2 linked regions of the Rhinolophus ferrumequinum genome follow. The protein of the gene in region 1 binds, or shares a complex with, the protein of each later gene. Links are inferred from orthologs where the notes say so. Each region holds a gene or a part of one and is shown in the gene's direction. Other genes may lie near its edges.

The links. Proteins that work in one complex are often made in the same cells at the same time.
Region 2: VIRMA (region 1) and METTL3 share a complex: the UniProt entries of both Homo sapiens proteins name them as parts of the WMM complex. The link is inferred for Rhinolophus ferrumequinum from reciprocal best matches to the Homo sapiens genes VIRMA and METTL3.

The regions. Positions count from the first base shown.
Region 1 is NC_046297.1:35,888,126-35,898,789, reverse strand, and holds the start of VIRMA (protein virilizer homolog), read left to right. Parts: upstream 1-5,367; 5' UTR 5,368-5,620; coding exon 5,621-5,683; intron 5,684-10,067; coding exon 10,068-10,183; intron 10,184-10,664. UniProt on the Homo sapiens protein: Associated component of the WMM complex, a complex that mediates N6-methyladenosine (m6A) methylation of RNAs, a modification that plays a role in the efficiency of mRNA splicing and RNA processing.
Region 2 is NC_046289.1:72,311,496-72,322,651, reverse strand, and holds the start of METTL3 (N6-adenosine-methyltransferase catalytic subunit), read left to right. Parts: upstream 1-6,066; 5' UTR 6,067-6,175; coding exon 6,176-6,275; intron 6,276-11,156. UniProt on the Homo sapiens protein: The METTL3-METTL14 heterodimer forms a N6-methyltransferase complex that methylates adenosine residues at the N(6) position of some RNAs and regulates various processes such as the circadian clock, differentiation of embryonic and hematopoietic stem cells, cortical neurogenesis, response to DNA damage, differentiation of T-cells and primary miRNA processing.

The DNA.
Region 1 (10,664 bases):
TGGGTGAAAAGAGGTGAAGTGCTTAAGAGGTACAAATTGGTTGTTATAAAATAGTCATGGAGATGCAGGGTATAGCATAAGGAATATAGTCAATAATATTGTAATAACTATTTATGGTGTCAGATGGGTACTAGATTTATTGGGGTAATAGATGGTAGGGGGTTGAGGGACACTGTGCAAAAGGTGAAGAGATTAAGAAGTACAAATTACGTCTGAAGTACAAGATTAAGAAGTTACAAAATAGTCATGGGAATACAAAGCACAAGGAACATAGTAAATAATATGGTAGTAACTATGTATAGTGCGCGGTGGGTACTAGACTTGTCAGGAGGATCACTTCTTAAATTACGGGATGTGGAAAAAAGATATGGTGAATGTTTAAATTTAAAAAATTTGTTACAGTAAAAGACACATTGCCATTAATCCCCCTCAAAACATTTCTCCTCCCTTCGAACACACTTATCCCATCATTCTCGCCACTTTCTGAAGCAATTCTAAAAGTCCTCTTTCTTGTTGTGGCTCCTTTGATGTCCTGAATCTATTCCAAATGTTTATCTTTCATGGACATTTTGACTTTGGGGAAGAGCCAGAAGTCGCATGGTGCCAGATCTTGTGCATAAGGTGGATGAGGACACACTCTGTTTTTATTTGACAGAAATTGCCATACCAGAAGTGGTGTGTGATATGGAGCATTGTCATGATGGAGTCTTTCCATTGTGATCAAGAAATACAGTGAATGCTGCTGCAGAGTGCCATCCAACAGAAAGGCAGGGATGCTTCAATGGGAAGTGGTGCGTCAGACCTTAGTATGCGAGAAGTTTGATGCAGTCAGTCAGGTGTGAGCTATGATTGAGAGAAGGTGTGTTTTAAAGTGTTCTGTAAATCATCCATCATCATGACAATTGCTCCATGTCACACATCGCTTCAGGTATACAGCAATCTCTGTCAAATAAAACCATTACGGTCTGTTCTCATCCACCTTATTCACCGGATCTGACATCGTTCAACTTCTGGCTCTTCCCTAAAGTCAAAATGATTCAGGACATCGAGGCAGCCACGACAGCGCAACTAAAGACTCACGAAAGAGGACTTCCAGAACTGTTTCAGAAAGTGGCAAGAATGATGGGATAAGTGTGTTTCAAGGGAGGGGGAATATTTTGAGAGGGATTAATGGCAATGTGTCTTTTAGTGTAATAAATTTTTTTATTTAAACATTCACCATATTGTTTGATCACACCTCATATATGTCTAGCCACTATGCCGTACACCTGAAATTAATATAAAGTAATAATAAAAAAAAGAAATGTGTGAATATCAAATCTCTTGAGGAGTAGGAGTAGACAATAAGGGGATAGGGAGTATGAATATACCACATTTTGTTTATCCATTTATTTGTCGATGGATATTTGGGTTGTTTTGACCTTTTGGGCATTGTGAGTAGTGCTGTTCTGAACATGTGTGTAAAAGTAATTTAGCACCTGTTTTCAATTCTTTTGGTACATACCCAGCAGTAAAATTGCTTGGTCATATGATAATTCTGTTTAACTTTTTGAGGAACTGCCAAACTGCTTTCCACAGCAGCTGTAACAGTTTACATTCCCACTATCAATATACAAGGGTTCCAATTTCTCTACATCCTTGCCAACACTTATTTTTTAAAGTTATAGTCATCCTAATGGGTGTGAAGTATTTCATTGTAATTTTGATTTACCTTTCCCTCATAACTAAAGATGTTGAACATCTTTTCATGTGCTTATTGGTCATTTGTACAACTTCTTTGGAGAAATGTGTATTGAAGTCCTTTTGCCCATTTTTTAACCGGTTGGTTTATCTTTTTGTTGTTGCGTTGTAAGAGTTCTTTACGTATTCTGGAGAGTAGACCCTTATCAAATATATAATTGGCAAATATATTCTCCCATTCTGTAGGTTTTCTTTTTACTCTCTTGATAGTTTAAGTTTGATGCACAAAAGTTTTTAATTTTGAGGAAGTCCAATTTATTTTTTCCTTTGTTGCTTGTGTTTTTTGTATCATATCTATGAATCTATTGCCAAATCCCAGGCAGTGAAGATTTACCTGTATGTTGTCTTCTAAGAGTTTCATGATTTTAGCTCTTATATTTAGGTCCTTCATCCATTTTGAGTTCATTTTTGTATATGGCATTAGATAAGGGTCCAAATGCATTCTTTTGCATATAGCCAGTTATCCGAGCACCATTTATTGAAGAGATTATTCTTTCCCTATCAAATAGCCCTGACACTCTTGTTGAAAATCAATTCAGTATATACGAGTATGTTAAGGTTTATTTCTGGACTCTTAATTCTATTCCATTGGGTCTACATGTTTACATTTATGCCATTACTAGTTTTGATTACTGTAGTTTTACAGTAAGTTTTAAAATTAGGAGTGTGTGTCCTCCAAACTTGTTCTTTTCAAAGATTATTTTGACTATTTGGGGTTCCTCTGCAATTCTGTATTAATTTGAGGATCATATTTTCCATTTCTAAAAAAAAACTATTAGAATTATGATAGGGATTACATTAAATCTATAGATCACTTTGGGTAACATTGTAATCTTAACAATATTAAGTCTTCTAATCCATAAACATGGATGTCTTTCCATTTATTTGAGTCTTCTTTAATTTTTTTTCCAGCAATATTTTGTAGTTTTCAGTGTACAAGCCTTTCACCTTCTTGGTTAGTTATTCCTTAGCTATTTTATTCTTTTGCATTATATTTTAACTGTGTGTAGATTTTTGAAAGCCGTATTGAGGAGTCACATTCAAAGCAAAGAAAACCATGTAAGAGATTCACATCTCTTATATCTCTTACCTCTGTATTAGGCGAGCTACATCTAGCTGGGAATGGCTGAATCATCAAAGTGGTGTGGTAGGGACAAGGTGAAAGAGTGAGCAAGAAGTGAGTATGATGCCTTACAAACTATGAGAGGTGATAGATAGCCAACCAGGGATTCGGGGCTCTCCCGGAAGTCTAGTTAATACCTTCTCTCTTCTTTGACCTCTTAGACATCTTTCTGCCCTCTCAGTCATAGCTGATGATCTCATTGAGACAAAGAAACCATTAAAAAGGAACTCCCTCATTTCCACATACTAAGTCATTATTCCTATCTGTATGTGCACCCATGGACTCCTTTCCCCTTGTTACCAGGGAGCAGGTGATTTTTCTAGCAAAGGTCACTTTCTACTTGGGTTCCCTGCCCACATACTCAATACTTTGCTGCCTCAGATATCCCCTTTCTCTCTTCTTCATCACTGTTTCTCTCTCCATTGCTTCATTCCCATCAGTCTGCACACTCTGTATAACATTTATGTCATTTATGCCCCCATCTTAAAAACACTCTCTCTTGACCCCATGTTCCCCTCGAACAACCACCTAATTTCTCTGTTCTATGCAACAAATTTCTTGGAAGAGATGTTTATACAAGATTTCCTCTACTCCTCAATTTTTATTAATCTTTTAAAATTTTACTTAATAGGTAATATATGTACATGGAAACAGAGTCCCTCTATTTCTGTACCTTAGCCATCAAGCTCCCTCCCAGGAGGCAACAACTATTCTCAGTTTCTTGCATAATTCCTTCAGAGATAGTCTATAAATTCAAATATACATATAGTACATATGAGCAACACAAATAGTGAATCCTAATGTAAGTCACGGACTTTAGTTAATAATAATATGTCAATACTGGTTCAATTATAATAAATGCATCACATCAATACAAGATATTAATAATAGAGGAATCCTTGAACAGGGGAAAAACGGAATATATGGGAGCTCTGAATTATCTGGTCAATTACCTGGAAAACTAAAACTACTCTAAAAAATAGTCTATTAGTTAAAAAAATAGCTATCGCACACTACTCTTAGGTCAAAATGAAAATCAAAGCTAAGAAAATCAGACTATGTAAAATATACCAATAATATAAAGCACTATAAGGTATATTAACAGTTAAAGCAGAGCCTAGGTGAAAGTTGGTAGACATAAATATATATAGTAATAAGATATATGAATATAAATAACTTAAGCATCACTATAGAAGTTAAAGCAGAAGGAATTAGTAAATTCCAAAGCAGAAACTAAAGAATCAGAAAATAGAAAAACGCTGGAAATAATAAATACGAATGCAAGAACTGGTTCTTTGAAAAAACAAATAGTAAAAGAGACAAACTATTAGTTAACAGAGGAAACTGGTGGCTGAGGAAGGGGTGGATGGGACATTTACTTTAAAACTGAAAAATGAATGCATTATTAAATATTTCAGACATATCAAAAGGCACAGACAATAATGTAAGACACAACTGTGAAACCACCACCAATCTAAAGAACAAAATATTACCAAAGCATTTGAAGCCCCTGTGCACTTCTCAATTACATCTCCCTCCAGTTCACCACTATCTTGACATTTTAGTGTTTATCATTCCAATGCATTTCTTCATAATTTTAAAACATATATGCCCCTAAAAATTTACGTAATTTTGCATGTTTTGAACTATATAAAGGTGATTTTACACTATTCTTCAACCTGTTTGCTTAACCGTTTTTTAGATTATCCATGTTAGTAGATATAGCACTAGTTCACTCCTTCTACCTGCTATATACAACAACCACGTTGTATAAATATACCAAGGTTTACTTATTATTCTCGTTAATGACAAGTTTACAGCTTTTTTTGCAATATAGTGTTGCCATGTACATTCTTGTATCTGTAGGTGTATCTTTGGGCACGAGTGCAAGAATTTTCCTAGAAGTGAGGTAGGCACGTGTAATTTCACTAAATAATTCCTAATTGCTTTCCCAAGCACTCCTGTCTATATAGACTACCAAATAGTTCCAGTTGCTGCAATGCTCAACAGGGAGACGGCGACTTTTCACTCTACATTTTGATGTTGATGGCATTTCACGTTATACAATTTCTTGAATTTTTATTTCAATTTATCCTCACAAAAAGCCTGTGGGTTGGGTATTATTATTTACATTTTGAAGATGAGAAAAAAATCTCTTCGTTTTAAGACGTTTCTTTTCTTCTTTTTAAGAAGTGTCTTACTATTCAACTTAGATAATTGCACTTTTTTCATGCCAGTCTTGGAAAAACTGTCTGCTTGCTGGCGGTTTCACTGGGTATCCAGAGCCGGCAGCTTTCCCCACTCCTCCACCTCTTCAAAACCTGCTCGACACTCCGCCACTCCGAGGCCATTGCGGCTTTGTAACGCGGTAGAATAACAGAGTTTGGACCACTGGAGTCACCGTAGTCCTCCCCTCTTCTCCCTCCACCTCTTCGGTGCTTCGAGGGAGCCCTCCGCCGCGCTGGAGTAGGCGGGGCCGGCGACTTCGGGAAGTACCGCGCTTCGGGATAGGCCAAGGCTTGAGGCACTAGCGCTCCGGTCTCCGGAAGTGCTGCTGTCTCTCTCTGTCTTTCTGTCTCTCTGTCTCTGTCTCTCTGTCTCTCCCTCCCTCTCTTTCCCCCTCCCCTCCCCCTCTCCCTCTCCCTCTCCGTCTCCCTCTCTCTCACTCTCTGTCTATCTCTCTGTCTCCTGAGCCGCAGTCGCTGAGGTTGGACGGCTGCCCCGGAAGTCCTCCCCCTTTCCCCTCCCGTGGCAAACATGGCGGTGGACTCAGCGATGGAGCTGTTATTTTTAGATACTTTTAAGCACCCGAACGCTGAGGTAAGTCTTCACTATTTGATTCTGACCCTGCTTCTCGACTTTGGTACCCTTACAAAAAAATCCTTAGGCGTGCTTCCACTTTTCTTCCTGCCGGTTGCCGCTTTAATTCCTCACATACACCCCCCCTCCCTCCCAGCAGTGTGTGGGTACTGCGTCTGAGGGAGGGCAACGGTGGCCCCCACATTTCTCTGCGTTGTTACCTCAGGCTCCCGCCTCTTTGGTTGAGGTGGCTGCTCAGCTTGTTTTGCTCTCCCCCTCCCCCCTTCAGCTTTAGGCCTTGAAATGATCTTGGTTCTCAGGTGTACCTCAGGGGGTGTTTGGGAAGGGTCCTCAGACCGCTTGTGTTTGACAGTAGTGCAGGTAACCGATCAGCTCACCTTGGCTTCGTGGTTCCTAACTCCCTTCTACTAGGTCCATTTCCTAACGGGAGTTGGGTTGCCCAGATGTGGCACTCATTCGGTTTAGGATTGCGGCGTTCTCCAGTTTGCCCTGAAACTTTAATACTTACCTCCTGGAAAGATTTCACTCATTAGGACATGAAATACTTACATGGAACGGCTTTTGCGTGGAGAATACCTGCGAGGAGGGGAAAATTGAGAGAATTGTAGTCAAACTATAAAGCACTGTAGTATTGTCGTTTTGAGGGGCGAGGGTGGGGAATTGTGGAGTAATCGTTCGGTAATAATCTGAGCGGCCCTGAACATATATGACTGGCTCTGCGGTATGTAAATTGAATGTAGCTAAATAGCTATGAGTTCTCGAAAGCCGGTCAAAAATGAACATTAAGAAAGTCCACAGAGAAATTAAAGAAACCTCAGAACCCACACATTTTCTTTCAGTGTAGACTTAATCATTTTAGAGAACTATTCTTTCCTTGGAGATAGTGATAATAGTGGGTAGTGGTTGTATCTTAATGCTTTACTTGACAAAATAAAAAAATGTCAACGTTGGTCTTCTAGTTACTTTAATGAGTGGTTTATAGGTGTATAAAAATAAAATGTTTGGAAACTTTAGCATGTCTTACTAACAATGAATTAATTTGTTGTCTCGCATTTCATGTAGGTCAATTAGCTCTTTGTTCAATGACCATACTTTTCTGGCTGTAATTCCACCTAGGCTTTAGAAAACTCACAATGGAGGCCGTAGTTGGATCAGAACAAACCTGTCATGTGTACAGAAATAGAGAACAGTTAAAAATGAAAGAAAGAAGCATATGATGAATTAGTAGTATTTTAGTTTAGGAAAATTAGCATTCATTCACTTATATATTTAAGAATCTGGTATTTCTTTATTCATTCTTAGACAAACATTGAGGACCATGAGAGGATAGGAACAGTATCCTGGCAATGTTTGGGGAAGGCTTAGTAGAGATCACATTTGAACTGAGTCCTGAAGGAGAAGTGGGAATTTATAGGGGGATATGGATTTTTTTTAAAAAAAATTTTAGTTCTGGATCCTGATTTCCTGGAACCTTTTCCTGTATCTGAAGCCTATTTTTAAAAATTTATTATTTTATTTGTCAATTACAGTTGGCAGTTTATTTTATATTTGTTTTAGGTGTACAGCATAGTGGTTGGACATTTATATAATTTATGACGTGATCCTCCCATTAGTCTAGTATCCACCTGGCACTATACTTAGTTATTACAATGTTATTTTTTGACTTGGGAGGGATATGGATTATTGAGATGTTTTGTTTTAAAGGAGTTTATAACTAAGTATTGGAGAGTAGGTCTACAACATTATGATTCAAGTTAGAATGTGATGAGTGCATAAAGAGACAGAATGCCCATCACTTTCTGACATACTAGGACCCCAGTTGGTATTTATTTAGCCCCCTTTTGTTGGTACAAATAAAGGTTGTGTGATTTCCGAGGAGAGATCTTTATTTGAGAGCATTAGGAAAGACTTCATCAAGGCAGTTGGCATCTCAACTTGATCTTTGGTGGAAGAGGGTATGTTCCACAGTAGTAGACAGGAAAGGAGGATATTCTCTTGGAATAGTCAGTCTTCTGTAGTGTATGCGAAAGTAGCAGTGCGAAGTGGCACCTGAAAGGTGGTTCCAAGCCAGGTCATAGAATTCCTTGATGCTCAACAGAGGAGTACAGACTTTATTTTGTAGGAAATGGGTAGTTTTTGAGCAGAGTTCAGTTTTGGACTTGCTGAGTTTGTAGTGCCAGAGGAACATTCAAATGGGGATATCCAGTTGGCAGTTTGATATAGTGGTTTGGGGCTCCGGAGAGATGTTCGAGGTGGAGATAAGGATTTGAAGTCGACCTCTGGCAGTGGATGAAAATCTTATTTCTTGTAATTTTATTTATTGTACTTAGCTACTCTGCTCTACTTCCCTCTCCCATTTTGCCCTCTCGACATGGTGAACTGTGCTTACAATTACTTGACCCTTCCAAGTTCTTGTTTGCTTTCCTTTTGTGCATGTTTCTTCCTTTGTCTGGAAAGCTCTTCCTTCTCTTTCTCTTCCACTGATTCTTGTTTTCCTTGCAGACTTAATTAGCTCAGGTGCTACTTCCCAGACACTCTTTTCCCCCCATAAATATTTGCTCACAATCAGAGTTAGGTAAATACTTCTCTGAATTTTCAGTTTTCTGTGTGAGTCTGTGTTACAGCAATTTATCTTTCTGTCTACCCCAATAGATTGTTCCTTAATGGCAGAGACTATGTCTTGTCTTTGTATCCACAGGACCTAGCATACCTTGGAACATAATATACTTTTAATAAATGTTTAGAAATAATTGTTGAATAAAAGTGGTAGTGCCTAATACAGAAACTCTTCTACTTACAAGCAGAATATTTTAAAAGGCTGTTTGTAAAATCTAAAGTTCATTTTTGTAGGTCCACAATGACTATACCCTAATTACTACTAATACCATTAATTAATTAATTAATTGAAGGCGTGGTGGAGGAGGATAGAATTGATAAACTTTTCTTCTAAAGTTCCTTTGTAGATACTAATGAGACTTTATAGCCATGTACCACGGAGCTTCTATGTATAGTCATGAGCTGCATAACAACATTTCATTCAACAATGAACTGGATATATGATAGCGGTCCCATAGATTATAATGGAGCTGAAAATTTCCTTTGTCTAGTGTCATAGCTGTTGTAATGTCCTAGTGCAACTCATTACTCACGGGTTTGTGGTAACACTGATGTAAACAAACCTACTGTGCTGCCAATCATATGAAAGTTTAGCACTTAAAATTATGTATAGTATATAATACTTGGTAATAATCAATGACCGTGTTATTGGTTTATGTATTTATGATACTGTACACATTTTAGGAAAGACTAATTTGAACAGTTTTTTGGTCTGTTGATATGCATGATATTCTTCTCAGCTTCAAGAGAGGCTCAAGATTTGGTCCTTCTAGATGCAAATAGCGTGAACCATTCTTATTGTGAACTTTGACCACTAGATAATGATCAGGCTGGCTGAACTGCTAAGAAAAGCAGTCCAAAAGCAATGTGAAATTTTATTTTTAAATTATTGATCACAAGAGCTTCATTTGTTTGATTCTGTGTCATATAATACAAAAAAAATAAGTATACAGTAAATGTATGCTATCCATTTCTTTTATTATGATAAACTCTTAGTTTGTGGATTTTTCTTTTTTTAAATTTCAGAGAGGGTTTACCTCAACTATTCAATACCTAAATTGCTTCCCTTGATCTTTTGATTAGTTGGTATGTTTAGTAGGTTAAGTTAATTTAAGTACAGATCCACAATCCATTATCTGAATTCCATATTTAGAATTCAGGAATTCTAAAATGGCAGAAAAACCTACCCTGAATTCATTTGGCCATGCAATCTGATTTGAACTGACATGATGGTAGTTAATGATCTTTATTTATAGTGGGAATGTTTGTTTATACATGTGACTGCAGAAATATTGTTTTCCTTACAAGATACATGTGACTGCCTCAGAAACCATTGAGTGTGTTAAGTGTTATAATACGTAGTATTTGTATCATATTACCTTTCTAAAAATCTAAAAAGTCAGGAATCTAAAAGGCATCTGGCTCTAGAGGTTTCCAATAAGGGATTGTAGGTCTGTATTGGCCTAAGCAGAACATCAGCGAGGTGAATTGCAGAAAATATTATTACACAAATGGGGAGATTTGACTAGGTATATTTTATCTTCAGCTATTTTATAAAAGAGTGCTTTACACAGCGTTGTAAATAATATAATAGCACTGTTTTAAAGATACAGAGTTTAAGATTATTTGTGACAGTCAGAGTAAAGAGTAAAGATACAGAGTTTAAGATTATTTGTGACATTCTGAATGCAACAAATTGAAGATGAGTAAATTTTGAATAGACAGAGTGTTTGCTTACAGTATGTCTCTCCCTCCCCCCTTTTTAAAGCAAAGTTCTCATATAGATGTGGTTCGTTTTCCATGTGTGGTTTATATCAATGAAGTCCGAGTCATACCCCCAGGAGTAAGAGCCCATAGCAGCCTGCCTGACAGTAGAGCATATGGGTAAGTCAGCATTCTTTTTAAAAGTATTGTGACTGAAGATTGTCCCAGAAACATATTCTTAAATGAAAGGTAATATTTTGTAAGTAAAAAAAGTATTTTATAAGTAAAAAAAAAAACACCCTAAAACTTTATTCAGTTTTAGTTATGTTGCATTGTAAATTAACTCTAGGTGTTCTATATAATCCACATATCATCATAAACTTAAAAAGAGTAATTATTTGATCTAAGTACTAGATTAAATTTTTCTTTCTTTGTTCCTTTTTTTATTTAATAAGTGGAAATAGGTTTATATTCGCCAAAATATTCTAGGGTGGCATAATATAGTAGATAAGTATTTTTAACTTTTTTCCTTGAAAATAAATAAGAATGTCTGAATATTTAGAAGTATATCTTTTATTATGTTACTACATTTTAATTACACTGTTTTATAGTAATAAGTATTCATGTCTTATTTATGATCTTTTAAACTGATACATGTGTC
Region 2 (11,156 bases), on another chromosome or scaffold:
ATCCTTTCCTAGACAAAAATGCTTATACTGTTTAGGGGTTGACCTACAGAATTCTGTCTTTAAGATAATCAACCCCCTTCATCTTCTGCAAGGCTGTATCCAGAACTCTTTTTGTCCTTCAAGATTATTTAGTTTCACTACTATATAATTTCTGTATATTTCATTTCTATATGTTAAGGACCTTGAAAGAAACAGTAATCTTATAACAAGTGAGAGATTCAGATTTGTGAACAATTAATTGTTTTGGTTTGGTTTCATTTTTTCTTTTTTTTAAACCTTCATAAGAGTTTACTTGAGCCAAACTGACGACATGCTGGGGAGCAAGATCTCAAATGTACCTGTGAATAATTAACTATTAATTTAACAGTGCTATAATATAGCAATAATAGGGCTATCTTACATTAGTAATAATACATATGTCTAAGCATAAGGCCACACAGGATACACCCCAAATGAAAATACAAAAGCATCCCTTATTAACTGTACTGAGAGCAGTTGCTAGACCGAGGTTACTAAAGGAAGCAAAAACCTTTAGGTAGAGCAGTCCCCTTGAGCATTCTTCCATGATCTCACATCAGCCAACTTTCCCAAGAGTATTGCACCGGAGGAAGACAGCATTTTTGCTTCTTATTGTGTGTAATCCTGCGAATTAAATGTCCAGAGATGCTCAGGTGAGTGCATATTCATTTCTGTGTCCTCTTCTTCTAGGTTCATATACAAAGTTACACATCTCAAAAGACAGTGTAAATGACCTACTAAGTAAATTAAATTCAGAAAAATGAGATGGAAATTTTTTTTTATTTTTATTTTTAAGGAGAGCACAGCTCACGGTAGCCCATGCGGGGATCGAACTGACAACCTTGGTGTTATTAGTACCCCACTCTAACCAACTGAGCTAACTGGCAACCCCTGAAAAGAATATTTTGATCACTACTAATTTCCTAGCATGTGGTAGTCACTCAATATTTGCTGAATAAATGGATAAAATTGCCACATTCCAATACATATACATCTTTCTTCTCAATACCTCCCTTTCATATTTACTGTTTCCTTTCCGTTACTATCCACAACCAGCTTCTGAATTAAATAAGGCTCCTATCATTAAACACTTAGTTATAATAGGCTACTAACCATTTTCCCTATCTCTAAACTCTCCTCCCCATCTCAATCCAACTAGAACACCAGACCAACCTTAAAACACTCCCTATTCACAAACCCTAAATTATTCCCTGTTATATTCTGAATAAATTGCAAGCTCTTTACTCATGAGTTTGCAACCTGGCCTCAAATAGGGATAGTTCAATATTAATGAACTGGGCCTTAGGTCGTTTACCAGGCTAGAAACTCTTTGAAAACAGGAGCCATGACTTTTCAAGCTATTATTTCTGACACAATGTTTGGCATCATGCAGACATTTGATCAATCAGTGGTTTCTAAATGCTCCCATTCAGAGGACACCTTTAAAAATACACAACTTTTAGAGCTAGGGAGATCCAAGATGGCAGAACAGATAAACACTGTACTTGCCTCATCCCATGAACACATGAAAATTACAACCAAATTAATAGAACAATCAACCTGGAGAACCATCTGAAGTCTAGCTGAACAGAAGTTTTATAACTAAGGCTATAAAGAAGAGGCCACATCGAGACTGGTAGGAGGGGTGGAGACATGAAACAGGCTGGTCCCACACTCACGTGTGGTGATTTCAAATTGGGAGAGATATGTCAGCCACAGAGGTTCCCCACGAAAGAGCGAGGGACCCCAGCCCCCAACAGCAGACTCCCCAGCCTGGAGTATGTTTCTGGGAAGAGGAGTGCTCACAACTTCTGGCTGTGAAAAACAATGGGGATTCCAACCATCTGGGTGCAACTGAAGGCTGGAGGAAACCCAGATATCCTCTTAAAGGGCCCATGCAGGCATTCAGCCTTGGCTCCGGTGGAGGATGGTGACTTGGGGTGCATTGGAGACACATAGGGAGAGACTGAGTTGTGTAACTTTGGGGTGAGGACTGGAGGGACAGTCCCCATTTTCCCTGTGTGGGGCACTGATTGAATGCAGGCAGCAGGTGGGCAACATTTTTCCTGTGTTGAGCCTGCCCCCATGGACCAAATCTGAATCTGATTGGCCTGGTGAGCTCCACTGCTCCACCCTGTTGACTCACTGAGACCCTGCCTCACCCAACTTGCATACTGCAGGAGTCTTTATTAGCGGCTGAACCGGACGAGAACCAGCAGGTGGCAGCAGGCCTCCAGGTGTCCTGGCTTTTTGCAGAGCTACCCCAGACCTTGTACTGGTGGCAGCTGTCCTTGGTTCTCAGCATGGCCTCCAGGTATAGCACAGGCAAGGACCAAATGTGGATCACTTTGTAGTTCCTACCAGGTACTCCCTGGCCAATCACAAGCAGTGGCTGACCTGGGCCTCCCCAAAGGCCCCAAGAACCAAAATAGTTGGAGGTTGGCTTCAGAACACTGCCCAATTGGCCCCACAAGTGGCACAAACAAAGGGTGGTCTCAAGAAGCACCAGAGCCCACTGAGGCAAATCCCACTCCATGGGGTAAGCCCCCAGCACAGCAGCCCATAAGCTGTTGATGTGGCCAAATGCCATAGCCAGACATCCTGAGGGTCAATACCACCCACTGACATGCCAACAGCAATCAAGGCTCAATTATAACAGGAAGGCACACACAACCCACATGAGGGACACTCCTGGAGCACCCGGCTCAGGTGACCAGGGAGACTGTGCCACTGGGCTCCTCAGGATCCCTACTACTTAAGGCCACCCGGCAAGATTGGGAGACATAGCAGCCCTACCTAATACATAAAAACAAACACAGAGAGGCAGCAAAAATGAGGAAACAGAAATAAGTCCTGAATGAAAAAACAGGAGAAAATTCTAGGAAAAGAACTAAACAAAATGGAGGCAAGCAACTTACTAGATACAGAGTTCAAAACAACGGTTATAACGATGTTCAAGGAACTTCTACAAAGTAATTGCAAGCATAAAAAGGACATAGAAACCATAAAAAAGAACCAGTCAGAAGTGAAGAATACAATAACTGAAATGAAGAATTCACCAGAAGGAATCACCAGCAGACTAGATGAAGCAGAGGATCAAATAGACAATTTGGAAGACAAGGTAGCAGAAAACACCCAATCAGTACAGCAAAGTAAATAAGTAAATAAGTAAATAAATAAATAAATAAAAATAAATTTAAAAATGAGGATAGTTTAAGAGACCTCTGGAACAATATCAAGTATAACAACAGTCACATCACAGTCATAACAGAAGGAGAAGTGAGAAAGCAAGGGATTGAGAATCTATTTGAAGAAATAATGATTGAAAACTTTCCTAACCAGGTGAAAGAAATAGACATTCAAGTCCAGGAATTGCAGCATCCCAAACAAGATGAACCCAAATAGTCCCACACCAAGATACATTATAATGAAGATTGCAAAGGTTAAAGACAAAGAGAGAATCCTAAAAGCAGCAAAAGAAAAGCAGTTAGTTACCCACAAGGGAGCTCCCATAAGACTGCCAACTGATTTCTCAACAGAAACTTTGCAGGACAGAAGGGAATGACAGGAAATATTCAATGTGGTGAAAAGAAAGGACCTACAACAAAGGGTACTCAACCCAGCAAGGCTATCATTGAAAATTGAAGGACAGATAAAGAGCTTCCCAGACAAGAGATGCTAAAGGAGTTCATCACCACCAAACAGTATTACAAGGAATGTTAGAGGGACTTCTTTAAGATGGAAAAAAAGAAAATAAAATTACGAATAATAAAATGGCAGTAGATATATATCTATCAACAATTACTTTCAATGTAAATGGATTAAATGCTCCAATCAAAAGACTTAGGAGGGCTGAATGAATAAGGAAACAAAACTGTTATATATGCTGCCTACAAGAGACTCACTTCAGATTAAAAGACACACACAGATTGAAAGAAGAGACAAAGAAAGACCCAGTAATCCCATTATTTATCCGAAGAAACCCAAAATGCCCCTTCAAGGGGATGTATGCATCTGTATATTCACTGCAGCATTGTTTACAATGGCCAAGATACAGAGGCAGCCTGGGTGTCTGTTGACAAAATGGATAAAGAGGGGGTGGTACATATATACAGTGGGATATTGTTCAGGCAGGGGAGGGAATGGGTTCTTGCCATCTGTGGTGGCATGGATGGACCTGGAGAGTATTGTGCTGAGTAGAGTATATAAGACAGTGAAAGACAGATGTAATGTGATTTTGTTTATATATGGAATCTAAAGAACAAAATAAACAAACGAAACAGAAACAGTCTCATAGATACAGAGAATATTTTGATGGTTGCCAGATGGGAGGGGGTGACAAAGGGGGAAAGATTAAGTACAAGTTGGTTGTAACAAAATAGTCATGGGGATATAGGGTATAGCATCAGGATTATAGTCAGTAATATTGTAATGATTACATATGGTGTCAGACGGGTACTAGATTTATCGGGGTGATAGATGGGAGGGGGCTTGGAAGGCAGGATGAAAAAGGGGAAGGGATTAAGAAGTACAAATTGGTGGTTACAAAATAATCATGGGAATATAGTCAATAACATGGAAATAACTATGTATAGCACCAGGTGGGTACCAGACTGGGGGATCACTTTTTAAATTATATCAATGTCTAACCATATGCTGTACACCTGAAATTCATATAAAATAATTGTGGGGACACAGTCCCAGAGAGCAGTTTCCAGGCTCTCAGCCTCCTGTGGGGAGGTGCTGGCTCAGGTAATGAATGACAATCAACTGTGATTGGTTCGCTGTCAGCTGTAACCGTTTAGCCAATTGGCTACTGATGTAACTGCCGGGACTGCATTGATTGGTTGGTTGATTGGCAGGCAGAAGAAACGAATGGGGGACTGCCGATTATGTGGATCCTACTGTGTGTGTCTTGCCCGGCCACCAGCGAGAATATAGTGGTATGACTTCCCTATCTATGGCTCTGTGTTGTTCCTTTTTGGTCTCACCATATCCTGCGTTCTTAGGTGGGCAGTGGGACCAGAGACCCTGCATGACACCCTGTATGACAATAATATTGAATGTCAACTGAAACTGAAAAAATTAAAAAGCGGGAAAGGTGAAGGGCAATTGTGATCCAAATTTCCAAGTATAAAACAAGTAAGTCATGGGGATATAATGTACAGCATAGGGAATATAGTCAATATATCGTGATAGTATTGTATGGTGTCAGATGGTTGCTGGACTTATCATGGTGATCACTTCTTTAGGTATATAAAGATTGAGTAACTACTGTGTACACCTGAAACTAGTATAGTATTACATACTAACTATATTTTTAATACAAGTTTTTAATTTAAGTTTACTACACCTACAGAGACGTGCACATACCAAAATTTTTGGCTCAGTTGATTTTCACAAATGACATACTCATGCAAACAGCATCCAGAAAAGAAACACAATGCAACCTGAACCTCAGAAGCCCCCTTTATGTGCCCTTATGAGGACTGTATTTCAATGTATTACACGATACTTGTAGATGTTATATAATTAAGAAGAGTGAGAATATGTATTTGTAGACCCCTTATATTACCATCGATCCATCAGTCCTCCTTCTCTCTGAGAAGCATGCCCACGCATACACATCCATAGGGCGGAAACTAATGTAATAGCTCTTTGCAAATGAATGCATGAAACCATAAACCCACTACACCTTCAGTGGAAAAGGTATGTATCAAACTTGGCCGAGACGAATTAGTGATCCTTCATTTTAAATACCGGTACTACACGTGCTGCTGTACTAGTGTTATTTTAAGGTCAACCCTCAGGAAGCATCTCCTTATGCTCAAACATGGCCGCATGCGCGCCTATAAGCAACATGGCCTCTTTGCCAGGCACCAACATGGCAACCACAGCCTCATTGCTCCCGGAAGGACGCAAGAAGCCCAATTAAAAAATATGTCCTCCATCCTGCCAATACCTAAGATGGCTTTCGTTTCAGCTTCAAAGCGAACGCTAAACCGGAAGTGACTTTTCCGTCTAGGCCATCTCTCGGGATCTCTTTCCGGTTCGCCTTGGGGTGTCCACGAGAGAATTGAATATTTCCTGGAATTCCGGCTGGGAGGTGCTAGTCCGCCGCGCCTGATTCGAGACTTGTCCAGGCTGTGAGACTAGGATGTCAGACACGTGGAGCTCCATCCAGGCCCACAAAAAGCAGCTGGACTCGCTGCGGGAGAGGCTGCAGCGGAGGCGGAAGCAGGACTCGGGGCACCTGGGTGAGGCGCGGGGCTATCCTGGCCCATGCGTAGCCGGGGTGTGCGGGAGGGATCCCTGTAGAAAAAGACCGCTCCCGAGTGAGAGCCCTTCTCCAAGCGGCTATTTCTTTAATGCCTTGTTCATTGGTACTCTCTTTCGTCCCTCAGTAGCACAGATGCTTCGCCCCGCTGCAAGTAGTTGAGGTTCCTTCCCACCCTGGGCTTTGGTTCCTTGCGTTCGCTTTCCTGGGTTTGACGCCTGTGCCCCACCCCCGTCCCCTGGCTGATTCCTCTTAAGTCTTAAAGAATGTCGCGTTTGCCAGGTCTCAGCCCTATCTCTCGAAGTAGCAAGTCCCCTTTTTTTGTTGCTTCTATGGCGCTTTGTTCCTGTCGGTTACAGCGACTGGTTGGTAGTGGTCGTTTATCTGTGACGGGACACCGAGAGAGCAAGCACCGCATCTTAATATCCACAGTGCCCATCTCAGTGGCCCTCACAGAGTTGCACTCGGTTTTACTAAATGAGAAGAGGAACTGACATTGTTTCAGTCATTTACATACCGAGCAGGAATCTGAAAACGGTTTTGTTTGTTTTTAAATTTTTTCTCCCCTCCCGTGTCCCCCGTGTCAGGCATAAAACGAAGGAGCCTCAAAAGATTTTTCAAGTCCTACCCATCACCCATCCCCAGCATGAGCCCTGAATGATTTAAGGCAAATCAGTTTTGAAGATCTACAAACATAGTGACTCTATACGACAGTGGTAGCTTGTTCAAATGTTTATCTCTATCTTCTAGTCCATCACTAAATCTTGTCTTGATACATATCAGGTCGACGCAGACATACTCTTGTCCCTGGAACTAGCAAATGCCCTGGCAGGACTCTCACACCAAAATAAATAAATAAACGAACATCTATTGAGTTGTTACAGTGTGCATGACTCTAGTTAGACAAAAATAAGTATGACATTGACCCTGCCCTCAAGGAATTTGAAATTTAGTTGGGGTTAAAGGATAGATGCTTATAACAAGTCAGATACAATATGATACATGTAAAATGCCAAATGAATGAGTCCACAGTGAATGTAGTGAAAGGAGAAGTAACAAGAGTTGGTTCAATGAAAAGCATCATGGAGGAGCTGGCACTTGGAATTTGGTTTTGATGGCTATATAGGGCTTAGATCATTGAAAAGAAGTAAAGAGGGCAGGATGAGTAGAGGAAAAAGTGCAACTCCTATGATAAGGGATTAATTAGTAGTCAAGCATTGGAGTAGTTACTGAATTACCCAAGAGGGAGAAGGTATTTCTTGATATATAAACTTCAATTCCTTTGACCTCTTGTAGATCCAGTTTTCTCTCCTTTTTTTTTCTTATTCTTTGGTTTCCTCTGTGGCTGAGCCTTTTATTTATGCATATCAATTTTAGATGGAAAATCTAACAATTACATCACTATCATAGAGAAATAACCCAATTGCTTCTTAATGTATCATAGACTCCTGTTACTGGCCTTAAGCATCTCATCATCTTTTTTTAAAAAAAGCATTCTGGAAAGATATAGTTAGAGGCATTTTTACTATATAGGTATGTTTGTGTGTGTTCCTGAAAAACCTTGCTTTCTGCAGAAGTCTGCATTACAAAATAGCAGGGCTTATAGAAGAAATAGGTTTTGAAGTAGTCTGCTCAAAATCTATGTAACTCTGTTACTAGAACCCTAATAATATTCTACTAAAAATACTAGCATAGTTAAATCTCACTGGTGTTTTGATATATAATGAAAATCATTCCATCCCCATAGTCTATACCTTGGGACTCCTACTTCTGCTTCCATCCATTAGTCTGTTTTTGTTTAACCAAGGGAAATACCTTTGCATTTTCTTCATCTATCCCAGATAGCTTAACATAGTGCAAAGTGTAGCACTTCTTGAAGCCACCAAACCAGCAACTTAGATTTTTTAAAACCTTTTTTTTTTAATTTAATGTTTTTATTAGAAAAATATTTTTAAACAGTATCTTAAAATTTCTAAGTAATAGCATGATAGAAAGGACACTACTCTGGATGTCCAGATACCCAGACTTGATAATTTCACTCATTAGTTACTTAAACTTGATAAAGTCATCTAAGCATCAATGTCTTTGATTTCTGGGTTCTAAAATGATAATGCATAAATAGATGATAATGATGTACAAGATTTTTTCTGATTAAAGGATACTATTAATATATATGCAGTATAATTTTGGGTACATTTTTATCAGCCACCAAGGGTTTCCTAATTTCAAAAGTTATACCTGGGTCTTTCTAACCTATGGTTGTTAATCTACTGTTGATTTTCACCTCTTTCTCCAATGCAGATGGCCTAAAGCATTTTGCTATTTATTTTTCCTAATACAGTGTGTGATGTGTGATTTTTTTATTTGTCTTTGCTTATATTTCCATAAAAAGGCATTTCTATAGCATTCTGACCTTTTTTTCTTAAGGTATTTGTATATTGCTAAAATTTTCTGTTTAACTGTGAAAATATTTGCCCTGACCACTTCAAAACATTAGCATGATGAGAAAAATCACATGTGAACCAACAAATTTTCTATTATTTTGACATCCCTTATTTACCAATTGCATATGAACTGATTTGCATTGAATAAATAACATTGTTGCAAGACAGATTGTATTTGGGTAATATTTGAGAGAAATCAGAGAAACATGTATTCTATGGAACCTGTTGAAGAAATCCTTTAAGTGGTCATTAGGAAAGCAGCAGTGGGATGTGGGCTATCCTGGTGAGTTGCTCAATCAGCTGAGAAGAAGAGGGGCTGATGGTTCCATTCTTTTATAACTAAAAACTCAATATTTGGACACTAGGTTATTGACTTTTCAATATACGTGTTTCAGTACAAGGTAATGTATGTAGGCTTGTTCTGTCACTTCCCCATATTCTCCACATGGATAGCCTATCACTCTGTTTTAGTCCCCTGGGCCTCTTTTGCAATGTAGAAAGATGTGACAGCCTTGGGTAAGTGCATTTTTTCTGGAGATATTTAATTATAGTATGGAGTAATTTGTTTTCCCTTCAGCAGTAGCAATTTGAAGGGGACTTGAGGATTCAAGTAGTTGTATCCTTTAACAAAATGATCTATGAAATTACTTGTTTTAAAACCGTGAGAGTGTACTTTATGCCATATGCAAACCTAACCACTGGAGCCTCGATACTTCATCCAGGTCCTTGCTTAGCATGTTTAATAATTTTGACAAGATTGTATTCTCCCTTGAATGTAAATATTCTTTTTTGGGTATAAATATTAATACTTCTTGACTTGTATATCCACCTAATAATATATTGTTAAGATTCCTAGTACATCCACTTAATAATATGGTTAAGACGCCTGTAAAAATATTTTTGAGGTTGTAATTAAATATATGTTGTCTGCTGTCCTAGAGCTTTGGCCCATTTGGTATGGTGTGAATAAGCAGAAATGAAACACACAAATTAACCCAGCCCATCACTGTTCTTTCAGTTATTTTGATTTTTCCAAAGAAGATATTTCTTTGAATGTAGGATTCTTAGGAAAACATCGTGAAACACATTCTACTAGTTTATTAATTAAGTTGTTATGTAAGATGCAACACAAGACTTGGTTAAAGTTAAGATCCTTAAGTATTTTTCACACAGGAAATAAAAATTTTCCTACCACACCTTAGTTTTTATAGCATTACTGAAATCTGATCCTTACTTGATTACTAACGAGCCAATGTTAAAAGATAAGGAGATTAAATAAACTAAAATGTATCCATGTCATTAATGAATGCAAATTAATACGGACAAAGAATAGCTGGGACACCTTTGTTAGCTTGGCATTTTTAAAGTACAACTTTTTTTTTTTTTTTTAATTTTTATTGGGGAATATTGGGGAACAGTGTGTTTTTCCAGGACCCATCCACTCCAAGTCAAGTCGTCAATCCAGTTGTTGAGGGTGCAGCTCAGCTCCAAGTCCAGTCGCTGTTCTCAGTCTTAGTTGCAGGGGGTGCAGCCCACCATCCCATGCGGGAATTGAACCAGCAACCTTGTTGAGAGCTCGCGCTCTAACCAGCTGAGCCATCTGGCCGGCCTAAAGTACAACTTTTTAAAAATTTGTGTCAAAATACACATAATAAAGACACATAACAAAAGTCTGTAGGACTTTTCATCTTGCAAAACTGAAACTCTGTACCCCTTAAACAATTCCTTGTTCTCCTTTCCCCCCAGTTCCTGGCAATGCTTTCTGTTTCTATGAATTTGATGACTCTGGATACCTCATATAAATGAATCATAAATTATTTGTCTTTTTATGACTGGCCTGTTTCACTTAGCATAATGTTCTCAAGGTTCATCATGCATGTTGTAACATTCGTCAGAATTTCCTTTTTAAGACTGAATAGTATTCCATTGTGTGTCTATACCACATTTTGTTTGTCCATTTATTCATCGGTGGACACTTTTGGCCATTGTGAATAATGCTGCTGTCAGCATGGGCGTACAAATACCTCTTTGAGACTCTGCTTTCAAATTTTTTAGATATATATACTCAGAAGTGGAAATGCTGGATCTTATGGTATATCCTCCCTCCCCCATCCAAAAGTAGAGCGTTCCTGTAAAGCCTTTTGTAAGCCACAGTGGCATAAAGTGAAAAAGCAATTGCGTTAGGGACACATCACGCTATATTTGCTTTTCGCCTTTTTTTCGTAAAAGTGAAAATTTTCAGATTTTTTTTGGTTAGCAAGAATAGGTACTAATGTAAGTCTTTCATAAAAGCAAAGTGGCATAAAGTGAACTTTCATGAAGCTGTGGAATACCTATAGTTTTCAATTTTTTGAGGAACCACCATACTCTTTTCCATAAAGTACAGCTTTTTGAAATGAAGACTGTTACTCTCAATA